Linked DNA regions of Tamandua tetradactyla. The protein of the gene in region 2 interacts with the protein of the main gene of each other region in a biochemical or structural test. Links are inferred from orthologs where the notes say so. Each region holds a gene or a part of one and is shown on either strand. Other genes may lie near its edges.

Evidence for each region. The genes of interacting proteins can lie anywhere in the genome.
Region 1: the proteins of GABARAP (region 2) and ATG7 form a complex in vitro, tested with the Homo sapiens proteins (2 studies listed by BioGRID and IntAct, with this or other methods). The link is inferred for Tamandua tetradactyla from reciprocal best matches to the Homo sapiens genes GABARAP and ATG7.
Region 3: the proteins of GABARAP (region 2) and RETREG1 are reported together in a solved structure, tested with the Homo sapiens proteins (2 studies listed by BioGRID, with this or other methods). The link is inferred for Tamandua tetradactyla from reciprocal best matches to the Homo sapiens genes GABARAP and RETREG1.

What each region holds. Positions count from the first base shown.
Region 1 is NC_135335.1:37,669,273-37,676,711, forward strand, and holds the start of ATG7 (ubiquitin-like modifier-activating enzyme ATG7), read right to left. Parts: upstream 3,006-7,439; 5' UTR 2,914-3,005; intron 2,904-2,913; exon of another isoform or gene 2,410-2,903; intron 2,011-2,409; exon of another isoform or gene 1,519-2,010; intron 1-1,518. UniProt on the Homo sapiens protein: E1-like activating enzyme involved in the 2 ubiquitin-like systems required for cytoplasm to vacuole transport (Cvt) and autophagy.
Region 2 is NC_135332.1:61,108,965-61,116,334, reverse strand, and holds GABARAP (gamma-aminobutyric acid receptor-associated protein), read left to right. Parts: upstream 1-4,797; 5' UTR 4,798-4,935; coding exon 4,936-5,025; intron 5,026-5,575; coding exon 5,576-5,654; intron 5,655-5,797; coding exon 5,798-5,916; intron 5,917-6,366; coding exon 6,367-6,432; 3' UTR 6,433-6,861; downstream 6,862-7,370. Other genes in the region: CTDNEP1 (CTD nuclear envelope phosphatase 1), read left to right, coding at 273-389, 619-730, 1,148-1,232, 3,065-3,125. UniProt on the Homo sapiens protein: Ubiquitin-like modifier that plays a role in intracellular transport of GABA(A) receptors and its interaction with the cytoskeleton.
Region 3 is NC_135335.1:65,782,349-65,789,796, forward strand, and holds the start of RETREG1 (reticulophagy regulator 1), read right to left. Parts: upstream 3,006-7,448; 5' UTR 2,961-3,005; coding exon 2,647-2,960; intron 1-2,646. UniProt on the Homo sapiens protein: Endoplasmic reticulum (ER)-anchored autophagy regulator which mediates ER delivery into lysosomes through sequestration into autophagosomes.

The DNA of each region.
Region 1 (7,439 bases), on a different chromosome or scaffold from region 2:
GTAGTGTAATTGTTTTACCCCCAAATTGCTTTACTGTAATTCCTTGCTTGTCTTACCCTCAACTTATTAGTTTCTTAAAGACAAGGACCATAGCTTTTTTGTCATTGAATCCTGAAATAACTCTCAAATTCACCCACCCATCTCCATCCCTACAGCCACTGTCTTCTCAGGCCTGTCTTCTGTCATCTGGATTGCCATGACAGTGCTCTAATTGGTCACTCTGCCCTTCTTGCTCCATTAAAGGTCATCACCACATTTGGGTACTTTAAAAGACATCTTTGTTCAAAATTCTTCAGTGCCTCACTCCACATACCCCTAGTCTCATAGCTTTAAAAATTAAGACCGAAGTTCTTAGCATGTCATTCTAACTGTTTACCAAGTGTTTACTATCTACCAGTACCAAGCGGGCAACATGTATCATTTCATTCAATTCTTACAGCAACCCTGCAAAGTAGGTGTTTTAGTTTGCTAAAGCTGCCAAAATGCAAAATACACAAGAAACTGGTTGGCTTTTAAAAAGGGGATTTATTAAGTTACAAGTTTACAGTTCCAAGGCCATAAAAATGTCCAAACTAAGGCATCCATAAAAAGATACCTGACTGAAAAAAAGGCCAATGGCATTTGGGGTTTCTCTGTCATGTGGGAAGGCACATGGCAACATCTGCTGGCTTTCTTCCCTGGTTTCTAATTTCAAATGACTTCCCTGGGGGTCTTTTTATTTCTGTATCTCCAAACAGCTCTGTCTGCAAGCTCTGAGCTTTTTCCTAAATTGTTTCCTCTTAAAGGACTCCAGTAAGTGGATTAAGACCCACCTTGAATGGGTGGAGACGCATCTCCATGGAAACCACCTAATCAAAAGGTCCCACCCACAACTGGGTGGGTTATATCTCCATGGAAACAATCTAATCACAAGGTCCCATGCTAAAAATAGGCCTGTGCCCACAAGATTGGATTAAGAAAAGGAACATGGCTGGAGTAAATAACAGTTTCAAACCAGCACAGCAGGTAGTACATCTCCCCTTTTTATAGAGGAGGAAACTGATGCTTAAATAGAAAGTGATTTTCCCAAGGTGAGAAAACTAGTTTAGTGGTGATGGCCCTACGTGTAACCCAGGTATGTTAAATTCCAAAGCCTGTGCCCTTGACCATTATATGCTATTGCTCACAAGTCCCTTGTAATCTGGCTCCCATTTACCTTTTCACAGTTACCTCTTATTCCAGAACTCTACTTGCAAGTCAGGTACTCTCACCTACAGCCCTTTGCTCATGCCACTGCCAATATTTACAATATCATCCCACCTCTTTTCAACTGGCTAATTGCTACTCATTTTTTAGGACTTGGATAAATCATATCCTCACAGAAGCCTTCTCTGATGTCTCAGACTGACTTACAAGCACTTCTCAATTTTCCTCTAGCAAAGCTCCACAATAGCTTCATACTGTATTGCTATAATATATCTCTTTGAGTTGGAAAAAAAAAAAAAGTAAACTCCCTGAGGACAGGGATGTATATCTTACTCATTTTTGTACTTTCAGACTGTGGTATAGTGTCAGGTACACAGCAGAAGCTCAACATGTATTTTTGCTTATTTTCTATCAGGAGAAACCGGCTGAAAACAGAAAAGGGATCTTGAGGTTGACAAATAAAGAGCCCAGTACTCAGCTCCCCAAAACGGTTTCGAAATCATGTATATGAGTGGCAGGGAGGACTTGACCAAGAAAAGCAGAGGGGAAGGCAGCAAGAGCAGCAGGCTGTAGGTGAGATGACCTGCAAGAACAAAGTTGGGGGGGAAACAATCAGGCAATGTGAGCCTGCACAAATCTAGCCTTTTCACGAGCTCAAATATAAATCTACTCAGGGAAACCTTCTTGATAACTCTCAAATGTCTGTTTTATGTATTCATAAGCAACTATTTGTTGAGCCTCTATAATATGCTAGGCACTATTCTAAATGCTGGAGATAGAGCAATAACTAAACCCAGATTTCTGTCCTTGCAGAGCTTACTCTGGTAAATAAATAAAATGTACTTAGCCTAGAGGAGAAAAGGTGGGAAGAGGAAGACAGAAGTGCAGGGCAATTAAGTGGAAGGGGCAGTTAACTGAAAGGGCAAAGAGACTGAAGGAGGGATGAGATGATTACCAAGTAATAGCATACAGTTCAATATATGACTTTTAATGAGAGCTGGGGGAAGAAGAAACAGGAGAACCAAAAGTAGTGAGTTTTCTGTCACTGAAGAAAATTAATCCGTGGGCAGGGATGTCACATAAGAAATCTAAGTATACTATGGGATAAGGAAGGTAGGACTCAGAAGTCCCAACGTGTCACAAAAATGCCTGGTTTCAGTAACAGTGTTAAAGTTCGATTACACTTCTGTCAGTGGAATTTTCTTACGCCTGCATTTACCTTACCTGATTCCGGTTAAACATCAGAGTTTGCAAACCCTGCACCAAACCAGAAAAAATGCGCCTAGAGTTCTCTTAATTTAACTTCCTCATTGCACAAATGATGTATTGTATTCCCACTTGACAGATCAGAGTATCTCAGAAACGGGCGGGACGCGCCAGAGCCACACAACAAATCCAGGCAAAGACAACGAAAACCCAGGTGTCCTCCTAGCTATTGTTCCCAAATCAGAAATTCTGAGCACTCCCTGCAGAGGACAGGAGGAGTGCCTTAGACAATCAGCAGGAATTTCCAAATCAGAAGTCTCGAGGCTGTAAGAGCATGAGGGGACGTAGCTGGAAAAAGAGGGAAGACAGTCGGAGTGACTTCCCGGAGGCCCCCTCAGTTCGGGAGAGGAGTAGCCTGAGACGCGCTCCCGCCCCCACGGTCGAGCTCCCCTCTTCTCTACCGGCCTCCGGCACGACCCCGAAGGACCCCCACCACTCCATCGGCAGCAACCGCTCACTTACCGCCACTCAACTTCCGGCAACCGCAGCGTCGCCGCAGCGCGCGTCCCGATGACGCAATATAGTCCCGCCTCTGTCTTACCAGGAGGAGTAGTGCGCATGCACACAAACAGGCGCCGGCGAGCCTGGAGGAAATGCGACCTTACCGTCCAGCTGAGTGGAAGGGGCTTGGGTTCTGGAGAATATAGGGCGGGGGGAGTGGGCGAGGACCCTGGGGAGGGACGATCAGGACCCCTCCCTTTTCAGATGTGGAAATATGTATATGGTCTGTCATGCTTTTTAAAAAGTGCTCCACGTCCTCTTTTTATTTAAGAGAATAAGAATCATCATTGCCATTTTTCAAGAGAGGGAACTTCCGACATAACACGCGGATCATTAGGAAGGCAGGTGTGGAGAGATAGCAGAGGAAAATTTTAATAAGCAAAGGCCAGTGAAAACTGACAGTGACCAACCTCCTCCTTCTCAACACTCATGCTTTTCGTAGCTTACGATGTCAATGGGATTAAGTTATTCATTCTAAATTTATTTAGCACATTGTACAGTGCCAAGCATTGGACAAGTGTTGAAAATACAATAGTGAATATGATAAATTTCTTAATCTGGCATGTAATGCTGGCTCACAATGTAACCCTCATGCAGCTCTATAGACTTATAAGAGTAATGACGACTCTTTTTTTTATTATTATTGTTTTTCTTTTTGGATTACCTCTGTTTCACATTTCTAATCTTCACAGAGGTCTGGCCCCGGATGATGTCATATTATTCCCATATTACATGTGAGAGAACAGAGCCTGGGAAAAGTGGTTTGCTGAAGGTCAAAGAGTTAAAAAAAAAAAAAAAAAGGGAGAGGATTCTAACGGAAGCCTGTTTGTCTCTGGTGAAATGAAAAAATAAATCCAGATTTAGTAAGGAGAGACTTTATTCCAAGGATTGTTGCACGTGTTGGGAATGCTGCAATAGGAAGAGGGGCAGTACTGCAATAAGGAAAATGCTGTGAGCATGAGATCTGTAGGCATCTCAAGGGTTTTTTCTTTTATAGGGAGAAGTAAACAAGGCTATAAAGAATCTGGTGTGGCTAAGTAGGAAGAAAGGGTGGCTTGACCCAATACTAGATCAGAAGACGTTTTACCATGAGGCCAGCATATTCTCAGGAGAGGTTGTATGCTGGTTCAGGCTGAGGGTAAGTCAAACAAAGCTTGAGAACTGGGAAGGAAAAGAAGCTTATCCAAAGTTCGATTAACAGGCCTTTTGTTCCCATTGATCAGTAGGGACAGGAAGTTTGGCTAATCATTTATAAGACAAAGAATGGGAACTTGGAGGGTCTGTGTCTGGCCCTGTCATAGATAAACAAGGGAGGCATCTATGAATTTTATCTAAGTCATATGGAGAAGAGTGTTTCTTTGCAGAAAGCCATTTCCCAAACACAAAAGGGTGCCAGTGGGGAGGTTCTTAACCATTGCTGTTTTCCAGGAGGATTTTACAAGTAAAATTTAACATTTTCAACTCTTTCCACTGTGTCAGTCTCCTCTCCTGCCACTGACCCTCAGACTGCATGCTTGAGTCACTAAACTAATTCTGGTTTCCTGAACACACTCTGCTCCTTTTTATCTCCATGCTGTATTTGCCCTTACACTTCCTGTGTTTGTAGAACCCTTTCTGAATCTTCAAAACCCAGTTGAAATGTAGAAGAATATCACAGACAAGTCATATGAGAATATATGAGATTCTAAAATCAGCAAAACTCATCTATAGTGATACTGATCAAATCGAGTCATTGCCAGGGCAGTAGGGGTAGGGATTGTCTGCAAAAGGGCATGAGGAACTTTCTGAGGTAACAGAAATGTTTTATGTATCTTGATTGGGGTGGGAGTGAAATGGGTGTACATATTTGTCTAAACTTGTTGAATTCTACATTTTAAATGGTGCGTTTCATTGTCTGTTTTTGACTTTTTTTTTTTTTTTTTTTTCTTTGCATGGGCAGGCAACGGGACTCAAACCCAGGTCTCCAGCATGGCAGGTGAGAATTCTGCCACTGAGCCACCATTGTACCGCCCATCTTAGCTTTTTTTAAAACCCGGTTGGATGTCACGTCCTCTGTGAAGGCATGCCTGACACCCATCAAAGTAGGCTCCAAGAGTACTTAACTCTATTAAGCCTGTATGAGCCTTGGTTGAAGTTAGTTCTTTATAAGCTAGTCTTCCCTGCTGGATGTAGAGATTCTTATGATAATCATCTTTTGGAGTTTCTGCCCAGCTCGTAATGATTCCTCCTTCTCATGTGCTCCCCCTCCACACACACACACAGTTGATTAGAGCAGAGGTGGAGATGACAGTTCTTTACTCTGAGTTTTGGACTTTTAAACTAATGCTCATAGAGAATAGCAATAGTTCCTTTGGGTCAATGGCATCGTTACAGAGGGAATGTTCTCAAATTCTTACTTTTGAGGTTTCTGTGGTTGACTTGGCTCAAGCCCTGCCCAAGGCTAGGTCATTCAGAGCTTCATTCGAGTCCATAAATGTGATGGCTTAGAAGCTGTGTGTACCTCAGAAAAGATCATGTTCTTTTAATCCATTGTTGTGGGTATAGACCTATTGTAGGTGGGACCTTTAGATTATGTTATTTCAATTGAGATGTGATACTACCTCATTCAAGGTGGGTCTTGATCCTCTTACTGGAATCCTTTATAAAAAGATAAAAGACACAGAGACGACACAGAAAAAAAGACTCAAAAAAGCTAAGAGGAAAGAGTCAGAGAATCTTAAGAGGATGCACAGGAAAACAGAGAGAAATTACAGAAATGGAGAGGAAATCACTGAAGCCAGAAGCTGGAAGCAGTGAAAACCTGGAGAGAAGGGAGAGACCAGCAGACATCACCATGCGCCTTCCCATGTGAGAACCCAGGTTGCCAGCAGCCTTTTCTTCAGGAAGAAGTTATCTTCCTGATGGTACCCTGATTAGGGCATTTTCACAGTCTCAGAAGTGTACATTTATACATTAATAAATCCCCATTGTAAAAGCCAACCCATTTCTGGTATATTGCATTTCATCAGCTTTAGCAAACTAAAACAATAAAATGCACAAGTAAGCATTCATAAAGTTGGCTTCTGTTATTTGCAACCCTGAAGTAGCTCCATAGGGTTAGAACCATTTCTGTCTTATTCTCCTGTGTTTCTTAATGCCCAGATCGAGGCCTGGGCTAAGAAGTGCCTAAAAAGTATTTTTTAAAAGTAACAGATGGTGTCTGGGCATGAAAAATAGATGTGGGGACCAGAGTTGATGATAGCTGAGGTCACAAATTTGTCTTCCTTGTTAACAAGGAGTTAAGGTGGGGCTCAGAGCATAAGCTTCCCAGGACAGGTGGCTTTTGGTAAGCAGACCGCTGGCGCACTAAGACCAGGGAGCATCAAGGAAGCTGCAGGACCAGGAACCACAGAAAGGCAGAGAATGTCCTCAGACACAGCATGGCAAGGAGGTCTCGTGACACTTATTCAAGATTACTGCAATTCAGGCCAATCTACCTTCACCACTTGTCTTGCCGCTCAGTTACGGGGAGCACACACTCCCCAGAGTGAGAATCCTACGCCAAGCCAACCTACGTTTTGAGAACTGCGAGATTGTAGAATGACAAATGTCAACAAAGTAGATTTTAACAGCATTGTATCTTTATAGCACTTAGAGTGCCTAGCAGCCAGAACAGCTCCAGCATCTTTTTCACCCTTTGTTAAGACTATCAATAATCAACCTCTGGGAAGTCCACGCATTCCCATTTCCGAGAAGGAAACCAGTGATTATCTGAAAGCCAAATACCCAAATGACCAATTCCTCAAATTTGCAGACTGGTAAATTTTTCTGAATGCCAAAATTACCTGTGTTTAAGGTTCACAGTTGTCTCTATTGGATGAAGTGGCTTTGTAGGTTTTTCAAGATTTATGCAGTGTTGTAGATGACTGTTTTTCATGTTGTCTTCAGAGAAGTCCTTTAAAGAATTTTTATTTATCAGAAGCTGTGCCGGTGTGAATCTGTTGTGTACTCCAGAAAAGCCAAACTCTTTTTAATCCTCATTCAATATTGCTGGGTGGGACCTTTTTGATTGTTTCCAAGGAGATGTGATCCACCCAATTGTAGGTGGTAACCTTTGATTAGATGGTCTCCATGGAGATGCATCTCTACCCATTCAAGGTGGGGTTGCTTACTGGACCCTTTTAAGAGGGAACCATTTTGGAAAAGGCTTTAGAGCCACTAGAACCGACAGAGCCAACAGAACGGACAGAGCCCTGGGGAAGCCGTTGAGGAGCCTGGAGAGAAAGTTAGCAGGCATCGCCATGTGCTTTCCAGCTGAGAGAGAAACCCCAAACTTTGTTGGTCTTCTTGAACCAAGATATCTTTCCCTGGATGCCTTCAATTGGACATCTTTATAGCCTTGCCTTGATTTGGGCACTTTCATGGCCTTAAAACTGTAAACTTGCAACTTTATAAATTCCCTTTTTTAATAGCTGTTCCATTTCTGGTATATCACATTCCAGCAGCTT
Region 2 (7,370 bases):
AGTTCTAGTTCATTTGTTGTGCAGATGTAATTCCATTCCCTCACAGGCATCTTTTTCTTTTGTTCTTGGATCTCTGAAGAATATAAGATGCTGAAATTCTGAGTTTAGGGATTTGGGAGTGGGGGTGGAGGTTCAGAATTTTGTCCCAGAGATACATGATGTTGTTGGAAGGTCTGAAGGACTAGGCCTGAGTCCTAGGGAAAGGGAACTATATTCTAAATGTACGATTGTCTCTCTTCCCTTACACCTCCTTCTCCCCCAATCCGTTTCAGGTGAGCCACTGGTATGAGCTGGTGGTGTTCACAGCAAGCATGGAGATTTATGGCTCTGCTGTGGCAGACAAACTGGACGATAGCAGAAGTATTCTCATGAGGAGATATTACAGACAGGTAGGGGGCTAGAATCTAGGTCTAAGAATGATGTTTGGAAGGCAGGCCAGCATAGAGGAACCTGGGTTTGAGGCGGTTGCCCTGAAATGGGACCTATCGGGGGGCTGTGGGGGAGCATACTGCATAATCATCTTTGTGAAAGTACGTTGCCCATGGACATCACTGGGATTTGGGGAGCAGCCATAGAGGGTGAGTCTCCTTTTGATGCCCAGTTCATCCTGCCTTCCAGCACTGCACTTTGGAGTTGGGCAGTTACATCAAGGACCTCTCTGTGGTTCACAGTGACCTCTCCAGCATTATGATCCTGGATAACTCCCCAGGGGCTTACCGGAGCCATCCAGGTATGAGGGGAAGGTATGAATCTGGCAGGACCAGGGAGTGGTTTTGAGGAGGTGTTCTGATTGCACGGAGCTAGGAGCCTTCAGAGCTGGAACTTGTTGGGGGTTAAGGTGCAAGTTTCTCAGTTTCAAATGAGACATTCTCCCCACCCTCACCCCGTATGTCCACGTCTCACATCAGATTTGTTTTAAGTGGGGCCAAATGGCAGTAAGTTTGACTCGAAGCCTTATTCTAGCATGAGATCTGGGTGATTAAAAATGTAATCTGCCTTGGAGAATGAATCAGGAAGGTTTCACATAGGCCATTGGAGGAGGGGGTAATATGTATTTTTATTAACGGTTCCCCTCAAAAAAAAGTAAAAGAAAAGCAACTCTCTTGAATCCTTTATTTCTTCCAATCTGCATTTTCACCTGCCTTAGACAACGCTATCCCCATCAAGTCCTGGTTCAGTGACCCCAGTGACACAGCCCTTCTCAACCTGCTCCCGATGCTAGATGCCCTCAGGTAAGGAAGTAGATTCTAGATACTTGGGGATGCCATGAGTGTTTAAAAGTTGGCTTTTTTTGTTTGTTTTGTTTTTACTTAATGTCTCTTCCCTTAGGAATTTAGCATTTGAACCCAGGTCTTTTAACTCCAAACTCATCACATGTAACCACTGGGTTTGAGGTAGCAGAACCTCAGTCTCATCATCTGAAAAATGGTGGTAATTTCTGCCCCATGTATCTAATCAAACTGCCTTACATTATTGTTGGAAGGATTTAAATTATAAGACACTCTACCAATGCAAGTTTTTTTTTTTTTTACATGGGCAGGCACCGGGAATCAAACCCGAATCCTCTGGCATGGTAGGCAAGCATTCTTGCCTGCTGAGCCACCGTGGCCTGCCCTCTTTTTTTTTTTTTTTTTTTTATGAAACATTTCCACATACAAACACAAACATTTTTACCATATGATTATTCCATTGTTATAAAATCAAATAATTCACAATATCATCACATAGTTGTATATTCATCATCGTGATCATTTCTTAGAACATTTGCATCAATTCAGAAAAAGAAATAAAAACAAAAAAATTCATACATACCATACCCCTTACCCCTCCCTTTCATTGATCACTAGCATTTCAACCTACTAAATTTATTTTAACATTTGTTCGCCCTATTATTTATTTTTAATTCATATGTTTTACTCGTCTGTTGATAAGGTAGATAAAAGGACCATCAGACACAAGTTTTCACAATCACACTGTCACACTGTGAAAGCTATATCATTGTACAATTATCTTCAAGAAATGTGGCTACTGGAACACAGCTCTACATTTTCAGGCAGCTCCCTCCAGCTTCTCCATTACACCTTAACCTAACAGGTGATATCTGTTTAATGCGTAAGAATAACTTCCAGGATAACCTCTCAACTCTGTTTGGAGTCTCTCAGCCATTGACACTTTGTTTTGTCTCATTTCTCTCTTCCCCATTTTGGTCAAGAAGGTTTTCTCAATCCCTTGATGCTGAGTCCCAGCTCATTCTAGGATTTCTGTACCACATTGCCAGGAAGGTCCACACCCTGGGAGTCATGTCCCACGCAGAGAGGGGGGAGGGCAGTAAGTTTGCTTGGCTGAGAGAGAGAGTCCACATCTGAGCCACAGAAGAGGTTCTCTTGGGAGTGACTCTTAGGCCTAATTTCAAGTAGGCCTAGCCTATCCTTTGCCAGGGTTAAGTTTCATATGAACAAACCCCAAGATTGGGGGCTCAGCCTATTGCTTTGGTTGTTCCCACTGCTTGTGAGAATAACAAGAATTCTCCACTTGGGGAAGCTGAATTTTCCCCCTTTCTCATCATTCCCCCAGGGGAACTTTGCAAATGCTTTTGTATTCACTGTTCAAATCACTCTGGCATTTATTAGGGCATCCCTCTGGAGAAACCTACAAAATCTCATGCCCTACTCAAGGTTTCATGTACTATGGTGATCAGTTAAGCTGTTCACATATGTTGTATTAGGAAATACACTAGTCAAAATATAAATTTTGTGCCAAATAAACATTTTTTGCTGTAGTCTCACACATAAGTTAAAGTTTTAAAATATTCATTACCATCTATTTCTAACACCCTGCAGTATTGACATTCCTTTGTTCTTCCTCATGCAAAAACATTTTTAAATTTGTACATTTAGTCACTATCATTATACACTCTAGGCATTCCTAGATTATACCATCTCAGTCTTTATCATCTGTCTTTCCATGTTGTCATTTGTGCCCCCAGACCTCCTCCATTATTCTCACATTCTGCTTCATTCAGTATTCTAACATTATTGTCCAATGCAAGTTCTTGTTATCCTAGGTTCACTGCTGACGTTCGTTCTGTGCTGAGCCGAAACCTTCACCGACACAGGCTCTGGTGACAGCTGCTCCCCCTCCACCTGAGTTGGGGTGGGGGGGAAAGGGAGGGTGAGCCCTCGGATGCCGTCTGATCCCCTGTCCAATGGTGAGGACTGCCTGGGCAGGATCTGCCCCTCCCACCCCCCTCTGCCCTGGAGCCCTGCTCTTCACTTGGAGTCTGGATGGACCCATGGCCAGACTCTGAAGCAGCCTCACTCTAACTTCGTGTTCACACTCCCTGGAAACCCCAGACTGGACACAAGCCAAGGCCTAGGAGTGCCCAAAGAAACTGTGTGGAAAGGCAGAACTGGCCAAAGTGAGAGACATTTGGTGTTCCGGGAGGCTCAAAGAGAAGCTAAGCCAGCTTTGTTGTGATTTGATTTTTAAAAAACTCTTGTTTTTTAAAACTGATCTAATTCTTCACTCCTTCCTGCTCCAAGAGCTGGGCTGGGCTGGGCTGTGGGTGGGAGACTGGGATTTTGGCCACTGAATTAGCCCCAAACTGTCCTCCTTTCCCTCTCTTTTTCTCTTTTCCTAGATTCCCTCAAACTTCCCTCAAACCTATAACCAGCTCTCTTTTTTCTTCTAAACCATGCATTATAACTTTGAAACCGGAAGCTGCGGTTTGGGGAAAGAAGGAAGGGGACTTTGTTCACATCAACCCAGGGGGAGGAGGCTGCTGTTGGCCCCCGGGGGTAGGGGGAAAATGTGGTGGGGGTGGAATAGTGAAGGTTGACAGGAAATGCTTGGGCGTGAAGGACTTGAGTAATAGGATAGAGTCCTGGTGGGGACTGGGAGATGTTTCTCTCCGGGAACGTGAGCTTCAAAGCAGTAGGCTGTAGAAGTACTAAAGTATGAGAAACCTGGATGCCCGCAAGAGCATACGCCTAGAGTAATGCAGAACTTCGTCAGGGTCACTGGTATGGACAAACTAAGCATAAGCTGAGCGCTTCCTCAAAGAACCTGGTGCCCAGGGATCTCCGCGCTCTCTGGGCCTGACCCACCCTCGCTCCCGGCCCTGGCCCCAGCCGACTCCGCCTCCTAGCACCCTCCTTCCTGCAGCCGGCTCTACTTCCTCGTACCCGCCACGTGACGCTCCGCCCTTCCCCGGGATCACGTGATTTCAATGGTACTATTCCTAAAAGTGTTCCTCCGCGCTGACGTTGTCCCTACATTTTGGACCTCCTCTCCAGTCCCTATTGGTCCACTCATTCTTGGAACCTAAGCGTTCTGTGCGACTCTTCAAACCCGTATTTCATTTCTGCCATCCTGTTTCTGGAGACGACTTCCTCCACTTGGGTACTACTTTGTTTTGGTGTCAACGGCCGCCTTCAGCGGAACCCGTTTCGTGAATAGCTGTCCTTGTACAAATTACCTCTGCTCCTTGACGTTATTTCCGAAAGGAACTTTTGAAGACTCAAATCTCCAATTATGACTACCATTTCCTACCTCTTTTCATGCTCAGCTTCGTGGAGGAATGTCGGGAAATGGATTTTCAATTATCTCTCACGATACGAAATGCCAACCACCTTGCTACGTTGCCTGCGTGGCCCACAAATTGATCCCAAAGCGATTACGCTACTGGCGTGAGGGGGATGGCGGTCAGTGGGTGGTGCTACGCCAGCGGCGTTAGGCCGCTGCGCTAGTGGCGTACTTTAGCAGGTGGGGCAGCGCGTTATGGGCCGGGGTGGGGTTGGTGAATAGGGAAGTGGCGTAAGATCTGGGGATCGCTCCGCTGAATCCGCCCGCGCGTCGCCGCCGTCGCCACCGCCCCCTATCCCGGCCCCCCCGGGTTTCCTCAGCCCAGCCCGGTCCAGCCCGGTTCCCGGGAGGATGAAGTTCGTGTATAAAGAGGAGCATCCGTTCGAGAAGCGCCGCTCTGAGGGCGAGAAAATCCGAAAGAAATACCCAGACCGGGTCCCGGTGAGGACAGTAGCCTGGGCGGAGGGCGCTGACGCTGACGCCGACGCCAAGCTAGGGCTTGGGTTCGGCACGGGCTACGCAGGGCTCAGGCTGCGAGCTGTGGCGGGGTTGGGGAAGAGCCTTAAACAGCTGTTCCGGGGACTAGGGGTGAAAGGAATGGCGTGGTGCCAGCCCTGGGGCTGAGGGGATATCCCTGGGTGGGGAAAGTAGACCTTGGGATTCGTGTGAGTGGAAGATGGAGGGGGAACTTGACAGTCACCCCTCCAGCTAGCTAGGCTTGCGAGATTGACAGGCTAATAGGCCCAGACAAGTGGTCCCAGTCGGATTAAGATCGTATTTATTTATTATGACGCCCTATTCAGGGATCCGGACATTTAGGTGAGCTGGAGACACGGGGGTCAGGATCTCCGGACCTGGTGCTGCACCGCGTGTGCAGAGACAAAGAAATGAGGCTGGGGGTGGTTTGGGTGCTCTGAATATTGTTGCTTGAGTTTTTGATAGGTAGAACTGCAGAGTTGTTTTGTCCTAATTTTCATCGTCCCTTTTTCAGGTGATAGTAGAGAAGGCTCCCAAAGCTCGGATAGGAGACCTGGACAAAAAGAAATACCTGGTGCCTTCTGATCTCACAGGTGGGAACCTGACCCAGGATCCAGCTTTGCTCCCTGTGGGTGGGAGTGCAACCTCTGTGGGAGGAAGGAGGCTTCACATAGGAGCTGCAAAGCTGAGGGCATTTGTGACCTCTGTGACTTTCTTGCTGTTATATCTTTGGCAGTTGGTCAGTTCTACTTCTTGATCCGGAAGCGAATTCATCTCCGAGCTGAGGATGCCTTGTTTTTCTTTGTCAACAATGTCATTCCACCCACCAGTGCCACGATGGGTCAGCTATACCAGGTATAGGGACTGGAAGACAGTGGAGGCTTTGGAGAGGAGTCTTGGAAGCATTTGAGGGGAAGAAAGTTTTAAGTCCGCAGTTTTTTATGCTAGCTGGCTTGTTTAGCCTGCAATTTTATCTTTGGCCTGAAGACTGAAGGGTAGTCCCAGGTTGAGGGTTTGGAGTAGGCTGTGGGAGTACAAAGAAGGGAAAGAACAGTGAGTTAGAGGTAGTGTTTGATGACTCTCCCCAATCCCCCTTCCCATTTTGAGGCACTAGAGAACAATTTGAGATCTTTTTGCTAGGGATAAAGCTGCTTGGTTGCTAGGTATAGAGCCAGTGAGGGAGAGAGTCAGGTACTGGTTTTTGGGTCTTCAAAAAGAATGGTTCTTGAAGAATGTGGGCTATGGGTGGTTCCAGGAACCTGAAACCCCAATGCCTGAGCAATACCATGTTCTGCTTTCAATCAGGAACACCACGAAGAAGACTTCTTTCTATACATTGCCTACAGCGATGAAAGTGTCTACGGTCTGTGAAGCTGCTGCCCCTAAGGTGGGGTGTCCCATTCTACAGAGAGAGGTGGCCCTCCTTCCTTGACCTACCCCCCCTTCTTCAGGCTCAGACACCGCCTCTCTTCTTCAGGACCTGCACTTCTTAATGTTTGAAGCTTTCTCTCCAGCCCTTGCTAGCAGGAGAGATGGCTCCTAGTACCCCTCCTATTTCTTTTTTCTTCACCTTTCTCAGCCGTTTTTCCCATTCTGCCTCAGACTTCTTGGTTGTCAATCTCTGTCACATCTAGTGACTGTTTTGGTTTCTCTTCCTTTTCTAACTGCCCATGGGGTCCAGAACCCCAACAATCCCTTCTTTTTACTACCTTTTTTTTGGGGGGGGGGTAGATGGAAGGGACTGAAATTGTGGGGGGATGGTAGGAGGCACATCAATAAAGAGGAAACCACCAAGCTGAACTGATTTTTGCCTTGTGTTACCCCCCCCCTCCCTTTAGCCTTTCTCAGGCGTCATGGGCTTCAGTGGTGGGGAGAGAGGAATGGATGCAAATTGTGGGATAGAAATACATTTTGGTTTATCCTTTTGAGATTTTTTCTGCATGAAAAAGAGTGCTTTTGTTATGATGGGTGATGGAATGAGAATGCTTCTCAGTATCATTTTATGAAACTTCAGTTTTATATTCATGTTTATTGGGTACTGATGTAAAAAATAGTGTTTTACTGTGGGTTCCTGTGAAGAAAGTTTGAAAGCACCTGCTTTAGATAACCATATCCAAGTTTGTTACGAACTTCTGGATTAAGGAAGAGTATTTATGTGTGGGCGGGAATAAAAAAAACTGTCCTCAGTTGCCTGTCACTTGGCCAGACTCCGTCTTGACCTGTGGGCTCCAAAGGAGTGGAATCCGAGGGAGGGCGGGAGGAGGGAAGGGATGGAGGGGAAGATGGGGGAAAGGTAGCCATTATCACTA
Region 3 (7,448 bases), on a different chromosome or scaffold from region 2:
GCTGAAGACAAGATTTGGGTCCCGCATATTTAAAATATTAATCTTTTGTTTTCTCATGGAAAATATAGTGCTTCAGAATTCCTGGGACACATAATGTTAGAGGGTCACATAATATAAGATCAAAGATTAAGAAACATACTATTTAAAGAAAACTGAACGTCCTTGAAAAGTGTTCTAACCCTGGAAGCAACAAAAAGAGAATGAAAAACACTCCAAAAATTGAATCAAAGTTAATAAATGGGTCAGAAATTCCAATGGATTATAGCACAAAGTACAAAAGCAGTAACAAGTATTTCAGAATTCAAAGAGCAGGATGTTATCATTCTGTTAAGGAAAATAAATGCGTGGAATGTAGATACTGCAGGAGAAGAAATAACAGATAAGCAGAAAGCTAGAAGGAGGCTGAATACTTGGCCATTGTTTGCCTCTCCATCAGAATTATTCTCCATAGGAGTTATAAATACAGTACATGGCAAACATCACTCCTGAAAAATAACACATATGCCTTTCAATTGTCTTATGAAAAAACACTATTTTCAGTAGATATTACTAATAGGCCATAGAAAGAACACTTGCAGCTCATATCACAGAAATTAGGCTAAATCTTTAATATGAAAAAGCTCCTACAAATCAATCTTACAATTGGTAAGAAAAAGACCAATGGCTCAATTAAAAAACATATTTACAAACAATGTGGAGAAAAGATAATTAAAATGGCTTTTGAATATAAGAAAAGATGCTCAAACTCACAGAGAAATGCACATTTAAACCACATTGGGATGCCCTGTTTCACCTATCAGATTTGCAAGATCAAAGTCTGACAAATGCTGTCAGCAAAGATGTAGGAAAATAAGCAGTCACAACCATTGGAGGTGGGAGTATAAATTAATATCCTTCAAAATTATAAGTACATATACCCTCTAATTTCACTTCTAAGATTTTATTCTACAGAAATACTTTCATATATGCAAAAATGAAGTGTGTATAAGGTTATTAGCCATAACACTGAAATATCAAAAGTTTGAAAACAACCCATCATTGGGGACAGTTTAACAATTTGAGACATCCTTACAACTAAATTCTATGCTGTTGAAAAAAGAACAAAGAAGCAATTGCCAAGAAAACCATGAAGAGGGCAGCCCATGTAGTATTCCAGAATTTATGGCAAATACTGTGTAATTGCTGAACTATGCGTTAATATTACGTGGATAGTTAATACTACCTGGAAAGATACAGAAGAGACTGGGTAACACTGGAACACTGCGTAGCCAAGAACAGGCGTGAGAAAGAGATTTTCAAAATATGTATCCTTTTGTATCTTTAAACTTTTGAACTGAGTCTGTATTAGCTATTTTAAAAAATAAAATTTAAAATCAAGAAAAATAAATTTAAAACCACGGCCCTTATTAGTAAAATGATTGTGATAATATGATAAGGTTCTTTCTATCCCTAAGAATAATGCCCAATCCAGCCTAATATCATGTATTGCTCTCCTTTGAGTACTCATGTAACTTCATAACTGGGTATATGAAGAAATCGGGTGTAAACTCTAAAAACACAGATGGCTAAACACAAAGAAAAGTTCATTTACATTCAGGGACCCTGACAAGATGCAGCTCATTTTAAAGAGAAAACCAGGACTAGCACAGACTCTCCAGAAAAATCTTCCTGTTTTTCAAGTTGACCTAATAAAAATGGCAGGTGTGTTCTGTTCCAGGCGTTGATTTATTTTCCAACTGGAAGGTGAAATCCACATCCTCTGACAAGGTATACCGGGGTTCAGCCTCTTCTGCACTGCCTGGGTCAGGTTCGTTACAGGACCCTTGAGCAAACAAAGAAGGCTTTTTCTCTGCCCTCAGTTCAGACTGAGAACAGATGACAGCGCATATGCCCTTCAGCGAAGGAGCCAGATGCTTCCCATGCCCGTCTGGGTGAAGGGCACTTTTTGGAGAGCCAAACCTGTTGATCACGGGCTTTTATGAGAATAATTCCTATGTTTTCTCTCTGCCCTTCATGCTATTTTCTACACTGCGCAGTCCGAGGGGGGCGGGGCGGATGGGGTGAGGTACATAATCCACCTGTTTGTTTGCCTCCTGGTTTTCCTGCCAGGGAGTTAAGACAGTAAACCCTCCAGGGAAAGGGAAAACAAACCATTTAGCGCCCATCCCAGGTGGTTTATGAAGGTGGCAGAGTCTTGAACGTGTACCTAAGTTGGTCCAGCTATGTCTGCTGGAGTGCAGGGACAAATGCCAAGTTCAAGCCCACTAGCTCTGGCATGCTTGAGCCGACCAGGTCAAGACTTGAGAGTTTTAGAAAGCAAAGACTGAAGTTTCCGAGCACGGTGGCCACACCTATGGGGCTACAGGTGCGCAGGAGTCAGCGGACCACCTGGCCGCCGAGGCTGGACGCACGCGCGGGTGGACAGGGGTGCGACCGGAGACGGGGAAACGCGTTGAGAGGAAAGTTGAGGTGTGGGTCTTTCTGCTCGAGACAGGTGGCCGAGAAGGTGGGCCAGGGCTGACACCGCTCTCTCTGCAGCGTGCACACCCCACGCCGGCCGGCCGGTCTGCCCTCTGCCACCCCTGGGCGCCCCAAATGCCCCCCATCTCCACACCCCGGGAGCCCCCACCCAGCCCAGGCTCTCACCAAAACAGCAGGTTGGCACCCACGAAGGCGAGCAGGCTGCGCAGCGGCCTCTTCCAGCTCAGGAGCTCGTCGGCGCGGCCGCCCAGCCACAACACGGGCTCCCCGAGCAGCCAGGTCGCGGCGGCGGCCACCCGGCCCGCGGCCTCCTCCACCTGCCGGCCCGCGCCCGCCGCCGCCTCCTCCTGCTGCGGGGCCGCCGCCTCCCGCTCCTCCTGGAAGGCAGCCGGGGGCGGCGGGGGCCGCTGCGCCTGCTCTTCGGCAGCGGGAGCCGGGCATCCTTCCTCGGCGTGCTCCCGGGGCGCCACGCTCGCCATCTTCGCGGCCGGGCGGGGACGCGGACGCGCGGGGCACGCCTGGGTGTCGGCGCCGAGCGGGCGGCGGCGGGTCCCGGCGCTGGGCGCGCACCGCGGGCCGCGAGCCGCTGGGTGCCTTGTGACGTCAGCGCCGGCCGCGGCTGGGGCGCCGCCCGGGGGAGATGGGTGCGGCCAAGTTCGCGCAGGGGCGGGGCCGCGGGCTGGCTGGCATCCCCTGCGCGCTGGGGGCCGCGGCCGGCGGGGTTCCGGGGCGCTCGGCCACCTCGCCAGAGACGCAAGGAAATGACCCCCCTTTCCTCCCAGCTGCGGGGTTGAGGGGTGTGGGGCGGGGGGAGTGAACTGGTGGCGATGCCGCTGCGCGGTTGCTTCTCTCAAATGGAGCCAGGGCTACCGGCAAAATCAATTGGACATCTCCTTTTTTTTTGTTTTTTTCCCAGTCGGGGCCACCGCTCGCTCACCCTGCCACCTTGCAGGGCGTTACGCGGGCCCCCTGCGGTGGATTTCAGCCCCCGCCGAACCCCCGGGCCCTGGCGGTACACAGTCTGCACAGGCATAGGCATAGGCAGGGGTCTATGGCACCCTGGGAATAACGTGGTTAGAGGTGTTGGGTTGAAAAAGCAGGAAACCAAACCAAAACAAAACAAAACATTTGCGGTTGGTGAAGGGAGGGTCTGACCGTCTCATTTTACAAGGGAGGAAACGCAAACCCTCAGCGATGGGGGAAGGCGTTTCCTCTCTCGCCTGTTTCCTTGTGGGTATAGCGAGCTGGTTCAAAAAAAGCCCGTTGGTTTGTACGAGGTGCAAGGGACTGGGGGCTGAGAAGCAAGGGGTCCCGCTTTACACGTCCCGCAGGCTTGGCGAGGCTCGACTGCGGTTACTTGAGTGTCAGTCGGGTCTCGGTGTCACAAGCAGGCTTCAGAGCTGGGATAAGGAGGCAGTGGTGAAAGGGTTCCTGAGACCTCACCAGTACCCGGCCTCTTTGGATTTGGGGCTTCTGAATGAGCCCAGGGGAAAAGGAAGGCCAATTATTAATTATGCTCAGTTTTCACTATTTGAACTTTCAGCATTGATCTATTCTCTAATATGCCAGTTCTTGCTTTTCTCTAGAATGAAATACTACTGCCCCACTTCCCCCACCCCCACCCCACCCCACACACCCCGCCCCAATCCTGAGAGTTCTTCCCGAGGATGAATCATGATATCTTATATTCTCTCCAGTCCACTCTGGGAACCTGCTTTCCTGGCATGCATGGGACTCATTCCTAGAGCCACCAAATCCCTTTGTCTCCAGGGAGCTCTTTGGGAAAATGTTGTATGTGCTGGTCTGGGTTGTGTATACATGTGTAAAAATGTGTTGATCTATGTGTTTGAGGTGTGTGCCCTTTGCTCCTTGTATGTTATACCTCAAGGGAGCATACTGTCAGAACTCATTCAGAGGTTTATTGTGTGCCACCTGCATACGGAATGCTTTGCTAAGCTCTGTAGTGATGGCTTCCACTCTCAGGAAACTCACAGTCCAAATACAGCAGTGATAAATGTGCAAAAAAAATCATCTCTAGGTGCTAGGAGAGTCCTTGCTTAAATTTGTGCAGCCCAAATTAGGGAAGGAGTGGAGGAATCCATTGTAGACTTTTGAGAATTAATAACATCTGCCCTGAATTTTAAGGGAAATGAAGAGGGGGTGGAGGCAATGATTTCTGTTGGGAGAGCAGCATAAGGAAGGCATGGCGCTGCAGGTGGAGGGGCCAGCCTAAGAAAGGACAGTTCATTATGTATATTTGCAGCTGCTGAGGGCCCTGAATGCTGCACTAGTGAGGAGGGAGTGTGGGGTCTCTGGCATTCCAGCCTCGCCTTTGGGAAGGATCCCTTTCATCAAGCCAATGGAAAGAAGCTTGGGTGCTTTTGCCAGGGGTTGGTGCTCCCATTTGACCCTGACGCAAGAGCTTTTGCAAGATAAACGATGCTTCATTGTGTAATTTGCCCTTTGTTTAGCACTGGATACAGCCTCGGACTTGTGATGCTCTTGGATATGTCACTAGGCACTTTGTGTCACAGCCGGTGCAGAGAGTTATGGGTGCAGGCAACAAGGAGCCAGGTGTCCCCATTGTCCACACCAGGGTTGATGTGATTCCAGAAACATGTTTGCTATTCCTATGCTCCTCCTTCTCACCCGTGCATTCTAATTATCGTTCTTCAGATCCATTAAAGAAGTAAAGGCTGTTGACAACCAAGACACGTAAAAGCTAAGCCCCAGTTGCTATGTGTGGTTTGCAATACTTATTATCTCTGCTTAATGATAAATCTCCCTGCTCACAACTATGCACTGTGAAGTCTTTTCTTTCTCTCTCTCTCTCTCTCTTAAAATTACTATGCAGAAAATGCTGCAAGGACTGTTTTGCATAAAAGACTGGACTAATTGCTGTAATCAGTCATTTTCACCTCTGACCTTTAATAATTGCTGACAGACGAATTGTGTGACAAGATTAAATACCCTGGCACAGGCACATAAATGGGTGCAACTGGGTGTTTTTTCTTTGCCTAATTATCTTTGTAATACTTGAGAAATTTATTCCATGCCTAAGATGACATCAAAACAACACTATCAGTAGTTGCAGTAGAGCTTGTCCCTTAGCTTCAAGAGCATGCAATGCTTAAAATCCCCTGGCTGACCACACAGTTTTTAAAAGTCTCCTCTGTTTTTTTGCATCATTCTATGTTGGAAATAGAGTGAACACTAATGAACTAGATGATTTGACGATATATATCCAAAGATAACAAGGAAACTGAAAATGTGTCTAAGGAAACAAAAAGAGAACAAAATATAGCCTCTGAATCTCAGACAGTTTGGAAAGTAACCTGGCTCCAGTAAAGAAAGCCAAAATATACACAAGTACTGCCTATAAAGAGAGTACTTGCCTTCATCTTCCAAAGCAGATAGAAAATTTGTAATAGGACAGAAAAATCATGAATAATGAATTCCCAATCAAGGAAGTTGCACAGACAACATCAAGGTGTGTCTTAGAGTGAGGGGATAATGACCAGTATTAATGCTTTTGACTTAACATGTTTCATGTTAGAATCCTACAGTAGGTCCATAACTCCTTGAGTGGAAAGAGCTGTGTATACATGACGTTTTGTTTCTCAGCCCTGCAGATAAAATTTTGTGCTGATAATTTTATTAAAGCAATTCTCTCCTCCTATTCTTAGCCTATCCTCTACTCCATATTCCTCATTTCTCCTAATTTGCTTGTTGCTGAGCCAAGAAAACCTAAATTGTTCACTGCTAGCCCAGATAAATAAGAAAATCATACAGCAATAGTAACAACAAAGGAAATGAAGAGGAAGCTTGTGCCCTACATCATTCAAGGTTCCAAGTCTTAGCTCAGTACTCAGCTCACTGCTTCTGTTTTCGGTTGAATGTCTGCCATGCTTATAAGAACTGGAATATACAAACTGGAATAGTCGGTGCTGGACAAGCATTCAAGGAGGGGCATGCTTCCCAGAAATGAACCCCATAGCACCAACAACTACACCAGTTGGGATATCCAGTTTGGGTATCTCTCCCTAATAGTAATACTGCTCCCCCCGCAAAAAAAAAAAAGGCTTTTCGATGGCTTCAAGTGGTCAACTAAAAAGAACTGAGGTCACACTAAAACATGATTATGTCCACACACATACTCATGTGTTCGAAGATGCAAGATGCTCGCAGCCCAGTTCCTTCCTGCCCGGTTATCAATTGTACCTGAATCCACAGGCAAGTCACTGTTCTGGTCCTCATCTGCAGACTCTTCCTTATAATGGTCCTAGTTCTGCCTCATTGCACTTTTGTTTCATTTCTTCATTATTTCTTCATCCAGTGAGCATGAAACATCCATTGAGGGCAGATTGTGGGTTTACAGTAAGAGCAACAAGACTGTTCATTTCCTTAGAGATACTAGGGTACAAACAAGGAACAAAGAGTCTGAAGAACATAGCCAGGTGAAGAGAAGGGGGAAGCATATGGTATGTATAACCTGGAGGCAGGAGAGAAGTCATCCAGGCCCTTGGAGGAAACCCCAAGCCTCCAAGGAGCTGGAGGCCTGGGATGGGATGAGCAGGAGACCACTCAGAAATGTCCTCCTCGCAAATGATGCTGAGAAGTTTGCGCTTGGTCCTGAGACAGTGAGGAGCCATGAGTTGGCTTTGAGCAGGTTTCTGTTTTGAGATACCTCTGGACAGTGGATTAAATAGAGCCTGGCAGAGAAAAGACACATGAGACTTTTTTCCTGGCCATTCACTAAGATAAGATAAGGGCAAGGAGGAGTAGATGGTTTGGTAGAGAGGCAGATTAGTTTATTTGGAATATCTTTAGAAATGTCAGGTAGTTGGACATGAGGATCTGGCAACTCAGAGAGCAACTGGGTCTGGACGAGAGACAGATTCAGGCAGTAGGGATGGGTTGTGTGGGACTTGGCAGAGGGCAAGACCAAGATCAATTCAAGAGCACTG